3 linked regions of the Tamandua tetradactyla genome follow. The protein of the gene in region 1 interacts with the protein of each later gene in a pairwise test. Links are inferred from orthologs where the notes say so. Each region holds a gene or a part of one and is shown on either strand. Other genes may lie near its edges. The genes, in order: SUMO1, interferon-induced GTP-binding protein Mx1-like and HNRNPC.

Region 1 (3,750 bases):
AACGTTTCACTTGTCCTGGGTCCTCATTATTAATAATGATATTGGTCAATTAGTCTAGAACAGTTCTTTAACTTTCTGGTCTCAAGACTCTTTCACAGTATTAAAAACTCTTCAGAACTCTATAAGGCTTTCCATAGGTTGGTTATACCCATAAAGATTTATAGTATTAGAAACTGAAACTAAGAAGTTTTTAAAGTATTTATTCATTTAAAAATAGCACTAAACCCATTACATGTTTACAAAGATTTTAAAAAATACTATTTAAAACAAAATTAATGTGAAATGTGGCAATGTTTTTACATTCTGCAAATCTCCTTAAAGCCTGGCTTAATAAAAAGCAACTGGATTCTCACATCTGTGCCTACATTTCAATATGCAGTGATAGCACAGGTCATATAGTCTCTGGAAAATACCACTGAACGCTCATGGAAAAAAAATAAGAGTGAAAACAACCAAAAACATCCTAGCATTGTCATGAAAAGTTTTGGCCCTGAGGAGCCTCTGAAGAGTCTCAAGAACCTCTGCCTATTGCCACCAGTTTGTATATTGGATCCTTCGTTTCTCCTCCATATCTGTATTGAATAACTAACTTCAAATTGGAGCAAAAAATTCTACAATTTATAATTATTTATGTGTATGACTCTTTCATCAGACTATTACAGAAAATTTCGACATGATTCCTAGCCACTTCTAACATCAAAATAAAAGGATGATGAAACTAAGCATTTACACCTGTTCTTTCTTCCCTGGTAACCAAGTAAACAACTATCCAGGGAGATACTTAAAATGCCATTCCCATATCAACTTGGGAATTAAATCTAAACTATTAATAAGAAAATCCATTCAAAACTAACCTAAATTATTGTTAATTTCTTAAAGTGTAAGTCTAAATCTTGTACAGTAGTACAAAGCTGCAAAAGCCTCTCCTGCTTTCACCTAATGATACAAAACTGCATTAAAAATGAAACAAAAAGTAAATGGAACGAGTGTGTCAAATGTTAAATGTTCAAGAGCATCAGGAAATTCACTGAAAATTTTCTACACAACTATCATTAAAGCAAAAAGTTGAAAAATACTTTAAAAAGTCAAAGTCATCTGAGCAAACAAAATGAAGACCAGCCAAAACCTTATCAATTAAAAACTAGCTATGTTTGGATGTTAACATCCATACGCTGGATGTTAATGTTAAGGCACTTTCCTGAGAATCTAAAATTGTCTCAAAACAAAAAGTTAAACAAAAAAACTAGCAAGGAAGCACACTGCCATAAAGAGTTTTCTAAAAATGTTCTGCAACTGCTTTTCAAACACTAAGTTTTCCTATCCTTTTTCTCAGAGATATCAGTCATCTCCGGGTTGATGCCCTGATTAAAGTTTTTTTGGTTGCTCTGGCAGTTTTGTTCCACTTTGTGTCATAGTTTTTCTGAGTGCTCTGTTACAACTGGTGAGTTGCTGAACCAATCCCGCGTAAGAAATGGGAAAGTACAAGAAAAGAGAGACAGCTCTACACCCCCCACGGGAAAGGATCCAGAGCAGAGAAGCGGGAGCTCAGTCCTAGCTGCAATCATCCGAACGCAGGGCAGCGCATTCTTAGTTCCCAGCAGCACTAAACAATGTCTCCCTCTCCGCCCCGCTCCTCCTCCCCGCCCCCCACTCCAGATCATCCCAAGCCAGGAAATCAAAAGTGCAGTCCACCCGCTTTTCAGTGCCACTGAGCCTCCCAATCACGGATTCTTCCCGTTACATAACTGGGGCCTTAGGGCTCTGCTTCGGTAGTCATCTGGAAAGGGAGACAGACGGTTCCCCGCCAGAGCCCTTTCAGAGAGGTGGAAGCTGGACTTTGCACCTGGCAGACCCCGGAGGAAGAAGAGAGACGACATGAGGGAGGCCACAACGAGAGGCACCGGGGGTGATGGGCAAACCGAGAGAGGGGCGGGGCGGTTCCCGGACGAACAACGCGTACCCTGGCGGCTCTGGCCCTACTCTGCTCTTCACCTTCGCGGGACCAGTCCCCACCGACCTCCCCCTCCCCCATTTCGCGCTCCCCTCCCCCGCGCCTTCATCCCGGGCCGCAACCGAGCGGTAAGCGAACCTGCCGGGTGCGGCCCGGGCCACTGCCGTCAAATGGTTCCCTGTCCGTACCTGGTCAGACATGGTGACGTGCCTTCACCCCGGGGTCTCCGCACAGCAGCGACCGGGGGCAAGCAGAACCTCGCTCCGGGGTTTACAAATTCGTCTCTCTTCCCAACAGCACAACACCGCCGCTGGAGGGACTTCCGCTACGCCCCGCGTCACTTCCGCTACGTGCAGGGAGGAAGGGAAGGGAGGAGGGAAAAGGCGAGGCGGGAAAACGGGTTGGGGAGGGATGGGGGCGGGAGTACCCGGGAAAGGGCTGGAACTACCTTACACTTTGTTGCGCTGGTGATTTAATTTATCTCTCCAGTTCCTCCGAGAGGTTGGTCCTACCCCTCAACCCCGGGTCTGTTTTCCAGCGGAAGAGTTCCCAGCCCCCAGTTTCAGTGTCTGGGAAGATATTGACAACCCAAACTCCTCTCTTCCTGACACTTAGCAAATTTCTGAAGACCGAGCCCATAGCTGATACTTCTTTGTCTCCTCTGGGTCTTACGCGTCACAAACGCTCCATAAATGTTTTGGATCGAATATTATTTCTTTCACACTCGAAATGATATTTTTTTACTAAGCAGTCCTTGGCTAAATGCATGACCTGGATTAAATATATATATACCATTGGGCACAATCTTAATGACTACAGATGAAAAGAACACTGGTAAAAATTCTGAGCTTAGGGGGAACCCTCATCCTTGAATTCCTTGCTTTGAGTTAAAGAATTATCCTTCCATGATTTCTTCTTTAAAACATATTGACCCTAAAAAAAAAAATAAATTTTCAGTGCCTTTACTAACGTAAGTTGGAAGGTATGGAATAAAACTGAGAATCCAGAAATAAATCATTAAGCACTCATATTAACAGTCAATTCGTTTTTCAGCAAGAATACCAAGACAATTCAATGGTAAAAGGATAGTCTTTTCAACAAATTGTGTTGGAACAACTGGATATCTACCTGCAAAAGAATGAAATTGAACCAGTACGCCATGCCTTACAAAAAATAAAATAGACCGAAGGCCTAAATATAGTAGCTAAAACTATAAAACTCTTAGAAGAAAACAAACATAGGCATAAATCTTAGTGACTTCGGATTAGGCAAAAATTTCTTAGATGTGACACTAAAAGCACAAGCAAAGAAAAATAGATAAATTGAACTTCATCAGAATTTAAAAACTTTGTGCTTCAAAGAACAGTATCAAAATAGTAAAAAAAACAGCCGAAAGAATGGGAGAAAATATTTGCAAATCATTAATGGGAGTCTAATATCCAGAATATATAAGGAACAGCTATGGCTCAACAACAAAAAGACAATTTAAAATTAATTTAAAAATGAGAAAGGGTCTGATTAAACATTTCTCCAAACATATACAAGTGATCAATAAGCACCAGAGAAATGCAAATCAAACCACAGTGAGATACCACTTCACACACAACAGTACTACTATAATAAAAAAGAGAGTCAGTATCAAATGATAACAAGGATGTGCAAGAGTTGGAACCCTCACACTGTTGATGAGAATGTTACAGTACTTTGGAAAACAATTGGGAGTTCCTGAAAATGTTAAACACAAAGTTACCATACTACCCAGCAATTCTATGACCAGGTATATTGCCAACAGAATTGAA
Region 2 (3,750 bases), on another chromosome or scaffold:
TACATTTTATAGCATATAATAATCTCTGGACAAAAGTCAGTGAAAATGTCTCTACTATGAGTTGAAATAAAACCTATTAAAAAAATAAAGCACTCTGATATTCTCGCAAGCAGTGAGGATAACCAAATCAATAGGCCGAACCCTATAACAAACCTGGGGGTTTGTTCATATGAAACTTATCCCTGCAAAGAATAGGCTAAGCCTACCTAAAATTAGGCCTACGAGTCGCCCCCAGAGAACCTCTTTTGTTGCTCAGATGTGGCCTCTCTCTCTCAGCCAACATGGCAAGCAAACTCACTGCCCTCCGCCTCTCTACATGGGACATGACTCCCAGGGGTATAAACCTTCCTGGCAATGTGGGACAGAAATCCTAGAATGAGCTGGGACTCAGCAACAAGAGATTGAGAAAACCTTCTCAACTGAAAGGGGGAAGAGAGAAATGAGACAAAATAAAGTGTCAGTGGCTGAAAGATTTCAAATAGAGTTGAGAGGTTATCCTGGAGGTTATTCTTACGCATTATATAGATAACCCCTTTTTTAGTTTAAGGTGTATTAGAGAGTCTAGAGGGAAGTGCCTGAAACTGTAGAGCTGTGTTCCAGTAGCCATGTTTCTTGAAGATGATTGTATAATGAATGATGCAGCTTTCACAAAGTGACTGTGTGATTGTAAAAACCTTGTTCTGATGCTCCTTTTATCTATGGTATGGACAGATGAGTAAAAAATAGGAATTAAAATAAATAATACGGTGAACAAGTGTTAAAATAAATTGGGTAGAGGGAAATACTAGTGGTCAGAGAAAGGGAGGCCTCGGCAAGGGGTTTGGTATATGTGAGTTTTTTCTTTTTATTTCTTTTTCTGGACTGATGTAAATGTTCTTAGAAATGATCATGGTGATGAATATACAACTATGAGATGATATTGTGAGCCACTGCTTGCACACCAAGTATGGAAAGTTCATACATTAAGAATGTTCATGTTGGATGTTTGGTTTTATTAATAAAAATTTAAAAAAAATAAAGCACTAACTTACCTCTGATACACGCTTCTTTTACTTGAGGATGTAAGGTTGATTAGTCAGATGGAAATGCAGAACTGTTCTCCTAACCTCCCTGAAATCATGCAAAATATATAAATTAGAAGACGCAGGCAAATAAACGAAAGTATTTTTTCATTTGGGGAATATTTTGTCCCTTGGGGAATGTCCCCAAGAGACATTCCCACCACTGAGAAAGATGCTTAGAAGTATGTATCAATCAGGAAAATCTCGAAGCCCTGTTCCAGTTTATGCTGCCTCAATTTAAGGACATATCACAGACATCAAAATTTAAAACTGCCCCTCTGTGGCACTTTGAGGTTTACCTGCCTCCAGGACAGCACCTCTTCAGTTTGGAAGGGGACAGAGAGATGCACTTCCTTGTAAGGTGGGAAAAGGGCAATCATGAACAGCAATCAATTTTGAAGTGTACTTGTGGAAAAGACAATCTGGAAATTGATTCCCCAAGACCCTCCATGCCTTTGGAAACACTTCTGGTGCCAGGGGGGTTCCAGGCCCCTTGCTGGAGACTCTGCTTCATCTGCCTCTCTGGAGTGCCATACCTTCTGAGGTGGGCTGCTCAGGTGACCTCACTGGGTGGTGATGTCACAGGGTCACCTGAGCTTTCTACCCACATGACCTTGGTTCAACTTGATCAGCTAAAAGAGAGCTTTATTAGCATATTTCTTTCTCCATTTGTTTCAGAAAGTGAGATTCCCTGAAAGCAAGATCTTGTGGGTTTTATCTAAAACTTAAATGTTTGTGCCTTTCTTGGATCAACTTTGAAAATCAGTTTGGATTGCAGAAACCTGGCAATCTCAGTCATTAAAACTAGCTTGCTGCTCATTCATTACACTCGGCATCCAGCCAGATGGGGCCTTGGCTTGTAAGAGTGAACAGAGAGGATTCTCAATTCTGGCCTTGGAGGAGTCAAGCTAGGGCAACCCCTAAGCTCTCAGCCCCAAACCTCTCAGAAAACCCTTGGCACAGCCCTCTGTGTGCACACATGACTGCAGGGGAATCAGCCCACCCTGCTCCGCTCTCTTTCTAGCTCTCGTGGACCTGAGCTCGGGCCACTGTGGCAGCATCTCCTTTAGCCTGGGGGCAGTTATGAATGGTGGGGGATGCATGTGGCCGCCCAGAAGGGCCGAAGTCTTACCAAGCAGGTATTCCTCCATGTTTCCTCATGACTGCATCCCATTCCCACACCCAACACCCCCCACCGCGCCCCCCCCCCAACCCAACCCTTTGGTCAGATCCTTACTTAACCCATGGGAAGAGTTACAGTGCCTTGAAGATGGGATGGGGTCGTTGTCTCACTCCTAAAATCAGGGAGGGGAGACGGAGCCCAGGGGCAGCGGGCTCTCTCCATTCACGCCCAGGGCAGGTCCGCACTGCTCAGGCCCCGCCGTCCCTGGGGGTGCGATAGGGATGGGGCCGGGGCGTCCAGGCCCTGATCCCAGAAAGGAGCAGGGACGGGAATTAGGATTCAGGACCCCACCTTCAGAGTCCGTAAAGATCTCACCTGCTAACCTCGGGAAATGCCTAGGGTGCGGAGATTCTGCAACCTGCCGGACAAACGCCTCTCTCGGTGGTCCCCAAGCCCGGCCCGGAGCTGCGCGACACTCACCGGTCCCCGCGCTGTCGCCGTGACACCCGCGTTCTCGCTCCGCCTGCGCCTTTATGTGCGGCGGCCGGCCCCGCCCCGTCCTCCCCCTCCCGGCCCGGCCGCGAGAAAACGAAACTCCCCACACTGAGCCTGCCTACCGGGTGCAGCAAACGAAACTCACCCCGCAGCGCGCTCTGCCTCCGGAACGCCTCTCAGCTCAGTAACACAGGCGTTCGCCAAGCGGGGCCCCGGCCCGCAGCAGCACCCTCCCTGGGAGCTTGCGGGAAATGCAAAATCTCTCCCCCAGTTCAGATCAGCTGAATCAGGAACTCTGGAGCCCCGCCCAGCAATTTTTTGTTTTATATATATATAATATAAAAATTGCCATTTCAGTAATTTTTACGTGCTGCACACAGTGGCATTACTTACATCTACAATGTTGGGCTACCATCACATTTTCCCTTATTAAAATCTTTTCATCACCCAAAACAGAAATTTTGGCCCCCAGTCCCTGGAAACTTTGTCTGCTTTATACCACTATGAATGTGCCTATTCTAGATATTTCATAAGAGTAGCATCATACAACATTTGTCCTTTTGTGTTATTTCACTGAGCATAACGTTTCCAAAGGCTCATCCACGTTGTTCCAAGTATCAGAATTGCATTCATTTTTAAGGCTGAATAAGATTCCACTGCATGTATATGCCACATTGCTTTTATCCATTCTTCTGTTGATGGACACTTGGGTTGTTTCTTCCTTGCGGCTATTGTGAATGATGCTGTGGTGTGGACAAGTGTCTGTTAGAAGCCCTGCTTTCAACTCTTTGGAGTGTGTACCCAGGAGCGGGATTGCGGGCCACATGGTAGCTCTGTGCTGAACTTGAACCGCTGCCTGAATAGCCTGGAGTTAGTGCAACCAGGACCCCTGGAACCAGCCTTGGTCTTGGAGTTCCCATTAGTGCTTGGTCTTCCAGAACACATGCATTTACAATTGGATGTCTTAAATTCCTGCTAATGGCTCAGTGGGATCATTCCAGAAGCAGCAGGGGTTCTGGAACATTCTCTGTGAAAAGATCCTTTAATGGCACCCCTATCCTTAGCTCATCC
Region 3 (3,750 bases), on another chromosome or scaffold:
GCCTAATCCTTCCAGTGGACTGTGTCAGAAGTAGGTTTGAGTATATTTCCATACACTATAATAAATCCAAGAAATCACTTAGCATAGTAACTGCAGTTATTAAGGCAGTTCTATCTAAACAACTGCTAATTTCCAAAACAGCTATCAACAATAAAACTATTCCCGTACACCTTTTAACCTTTGGCAAATGACAAACTAGAAATTAAAACAAGTCCAAGACCCCTGATTTTACAGATACAAAACTAAAATGCAGAAAATGAAAAGTGATTTACCCAAAATAACACAGGTAACAAGCGGGGGAGGGGGGGATGGGATGGGATGGGATTTGGTTCTAACTCTTAGGCCAAGATTTTGCAACTGTTATACTCCCCAGGTAATCAATCCTTCTCACATTCAACAGTTAATGTGTCTTTAGGATTAGAAACAGCTTCACTGGAATTTATTCTTGGTTTGTTTCTAACAGCAATTCCATCCAAAACAAGATCACACGCTATGTTAAACCTAGAAATGTAATTACACTATAAGCTATATTTGAATTCTCTACACAAAGAATAGCAACCACCACCAAAGTATTCCTGAGAATGACACAGCATGGCAAACACAAAAAAGTTTGTCTTTCCTCTTAAACCCTTCCTCTCTAGCCCAACATGAAAATGTTACTAAAGCCTACCTCTTGAAAACACAGCTAGAATTGTTTCAGGTATTAATTTTGTGGACAGAGTTTCTGACGGATGTTAACTCAGGAAATTTGTGACATGCTGATGTTAATGAGGCCATATCTCTAACACCTCGAAATTTCGACAACTACACAAGAATTTCGGTTCTCAATAATAACCCTTCTTAAGTATTAAAAATTAATGCCTCAGGGGCGGGCCATGGTGGCTCAGCAGGCAGAGTTCTCGGCAAGCCATGCCAGAGACCCGGGTTCGATTCACGGTGCCTCCCATACAAAAAATAAATAAATAAAAGTAATGCCTCACAGTCAATTGCCAACAATACTTTTACCAACTAGATGATTGCCTAAATTAATTATCACTTGCTTTTATCTTATTTCTGACAGTTCAGCTGCGTGATGAGCTTTACTTTTAAAAAGCCCATACACAATATACATTTTAGGCCTTCAAAAAAAAAAGAGGGCAGGCAATGGTGGCTCAGTGGCAAAGTTCTCACCTGCCATGCAAGAGACCCAGGTTCGATTCCCACTGCCTGCCTACGTTAAAAAAAAAAAAAAAAAAAAAAACAGGAAATACTTTTGATACTGCAGAGCCCATTACAGGATTTACAGTATCTACATAGTGAAGAACGAGCAAATACATAGCCATCTAGAATATGCCTACTTTTACCGTCTAAAAATTAGGTTTCTTGGAGGATGAACTTCTTACTCTTCATTACTGGTTTAAACTTTGCTTAACACAGCATTCGTATTTGAGATTTACACACTGTAAAAAATATAATTAGCTCAATCTTACACAAGGATAAATTAGCCATTTCAAGTTTTACTAACTCAGAAAATTTTTAAGTTTCAGTATCTAGCAAATAGTAGGCACTATAATAAAGTGTAGTTGGGCATTTTTTTGTCACAAAAGTTTGGGTGGACAGCAAAAATTTATAAATACCAAAACATCTTAAAAACCGAATTTAAGTATGTCGTCGTCGACAGTTAATCTTAATAAAAAAATGCAACTCTCATAACTAATTATCTTTTCCAAGTGCAGTTTGGTAATTTTCCAGTTAACTGCCAGTGGTTTCTGTAACTAGGTTCTTGTAAAAATTCAAACGTAGTGCCTGGTACCAACTATTTTCAAACAACTAGGTAAATCCACTCGACTGACCTAGTGGTCAAATACCTCAACAGTCCTGATTTAACATACTCTGGCATCCAACACTCTTACGCCTCAGATTTTTGTCTGAGAAAGATATTAATACCTACCTCAAGCAAAGTTCCACTAACTTATATATTTCAAGTGATTTGAAACCTGCAGATAAAAAGTAGTAAGTCAGCTGCAATTTTAATTGTTAATACGTGAGGTTACATTTTTCTTTTTAAAATAAAAAAATTACTACTTCGAAGTCCACATTTGCCTAAAAAGAAGTAAAATAATAAATATTCAGAATACTAAGTCTATTGCTGTATTCATTATTTCCATGCCCTGCAGCACGTTTCAGAATTTACAGGCTCGCGGTACAACACTTTGGTAAGCACCCACTCCCCGACTGCTCAATTTTTAAATGTGAAAGAATGAGGTAACAGAAAACATTAGCTCCACATAAACTTCAACTATATTAACGAACATCTCGAGCTTCACTTTCAATTCTCTTGGGAGTCCTCACGGTCGTAGAAAAATGAAAGGAAACCAACCGTTAACATAGGTAAGCAAGACGAAAAAAGGTATTTTCTCCGACGATCAAGGCCTAGAGAACGCCAGATTAAATCCACGCGGAGATTGAAAACGCTAACACTCCCTCCCACACAAAACCTAATTCCCCAAGGCAAATAAAAGAAAAGGGGGCCTGGTTACTCTGCCGAGAGGGTTCCCTCGCCTTTTTTCCCCACACCCTCTCGCGCTCCCCGAAGAACCCAGTGCCTCTCCTTGTCTCCCCCTCCACTTACCAGGAGGGGGGAGGGAGAAGGGATTCAAATCTGAATCTCCCACTCCCAGATTCCACGCGAAGAAGCCGACTGCTGCTCGAGGTCGGCAACGCGGTAGCAACCGCACAGTCTCCGTCCGTCCACAAAATGGCTCCTGAGTCTCCTCCGCCGCCGAGGCGAAGGCCTAGTCCCCGCCCCATTCTTGGAACCTCTCTATTGGCTGCGCCCTTTCTCGCTCCCGTTCCTTGTAGGTCAGCTCTACTGTTCTTCACAATCTCGCCCAATTAAAATCAGCAATGGGTTAGACCAAGTAAGAGAATTTCCACATGCGTGAAAGAAACTAGCTTATAACTGGTTATTGCTCCTATCACTTATTGCTTGAGGAATTCTTATTGGCCAATGTACCGGACGTAGCGCTGGGTGAAAATTCGCCTTTGTATCGCGCGCACCGCTTCACATCCGGGTATCCGGCATATTTGATTGGCGTCCGTAGTGCCCTATCTCTACTCCTTCTAGCCCTTGGAGAAGGCCCGCCCAAATCTCGGAATTCCCGCGACGTGGGGGTGAGGAGGGATAAGAGGCGTTGTTAAGTTGCCGGCGCGAAGGTCGAGTCTTAGGCCCTCTTCCGCCTTTCGCAGCGGTCTTCTTAGCCTTGGGCAGGGGGAGAAGGTATACCACGAAGCGACGTTTCCTTTGTGCTATATGGATAAAGAAAGATTTTTTTTATTAAAGTGAGGAGAAAGCGGTGATAACTAGGCCATGTTAAGCTACATAGAAAACTAACCATACCCGCAGTTTTTCCCCAACCCCAGATCCCTTCCTCAGTTCCAGACTCGAATTTCACCTCCCCATTCCTCTGCCATCAAGCTCTTGTTCAGACAGCACATATCCCACCCAATTCAGCTGGCTTCCTATTCCTCTCCAATATATCAAACAAGGAAGTATAAAATGCTAGCCCGGAATACTATACAGATGGAATAGAACTAGCTAGCCTTACTAAGAATGAGGGAGAGCTATATGTGGATATGTTAAGGAGAGGGCTTATTCCCATTAACTGGAAAATGTAAGGTGCAGAACTCTTACATATTGTGATTCCATTTCTGTAAGTTTTTAAGGGACATATGAATATGTAAATGCTTTATGCATTAGTTTTAATTACT

Evidence for each region.
Region 2: the proteins of SUMO1 (region 1) and interferon-induced GTP-binding protein Mx1-like interact in a two-hybrid assay, tested with the Homo sapiens proteins (2 studies listed by BioGRID). The link is inferred for Tamandua tetradactyla from reciprocal best matches to the Homo sapiens genes SUMO1 and MX1.
Region 3: the proteins of SUMO1 (region 1) and HNRNPC interact in binary tests that used the Homo sapiens proteins (3 or more experiments, as listed by UniProt). The two-hybrid records come from large-scale screens. The link is inferred for Tamandua tetradactyla from reciprocal best matches to the Homo sapiens genes SUMO1 and HNRNPC.

What each region holds. Positions count from the first base shown.
Region 1 is NC_135329.1:176,909,989-176,913,738, forward strand, and holds the start of SUMO1 (small ubiquitin-related modifier 1), read right to left. Parts: upstream 2,305-3,750; 5' UTR 2,152-2,304; coding exon of another isoform or gene 2,140-2,151; intron 1-2,139. UniProt on the Homo sapiens protein: Ubiquitin-like protein that can be covalently attached to proteins as a monomer or a lysine-linked polymer.
Region 2 is NC_135336.1:98,729,233-98,732,982, reverse strand, and holds the start of interferon-induced GTP-binding protein Mx1-like, read right to left. Parts: upstream 2,710-3,750; 5' UTR 2,665-2,709; exon of another isoform or gene 2,560-2,664; intron 1,111-2,559; 5' UTR 1,032-1,110; intron 1-1,031.
Region 3 is NC_135340.1:35,253,519-35,257,268, reverse strand, and holds the start of HNRNPC (heterogeneous nuclear ribonucleoproteins C1/C2), read right to left. Parts: upstream 2,773-3,750; 5' UTR 2,612-2,772; intron 1,977-2,611; 5' UTR 1,931-1,976; intron 1-1,930. UniProt on the Homo sapiens protein: Binds pre-mRNA and nucleates the assembly of 40S hnRNP particles. Interacts with poly-U tracts in the 3'-UTR or 5'-UTR of mRNA and modulates the stability and the level of translation of bound mRNA molecules. Single HNRNPC tetramers bind 230-240 nucleotides.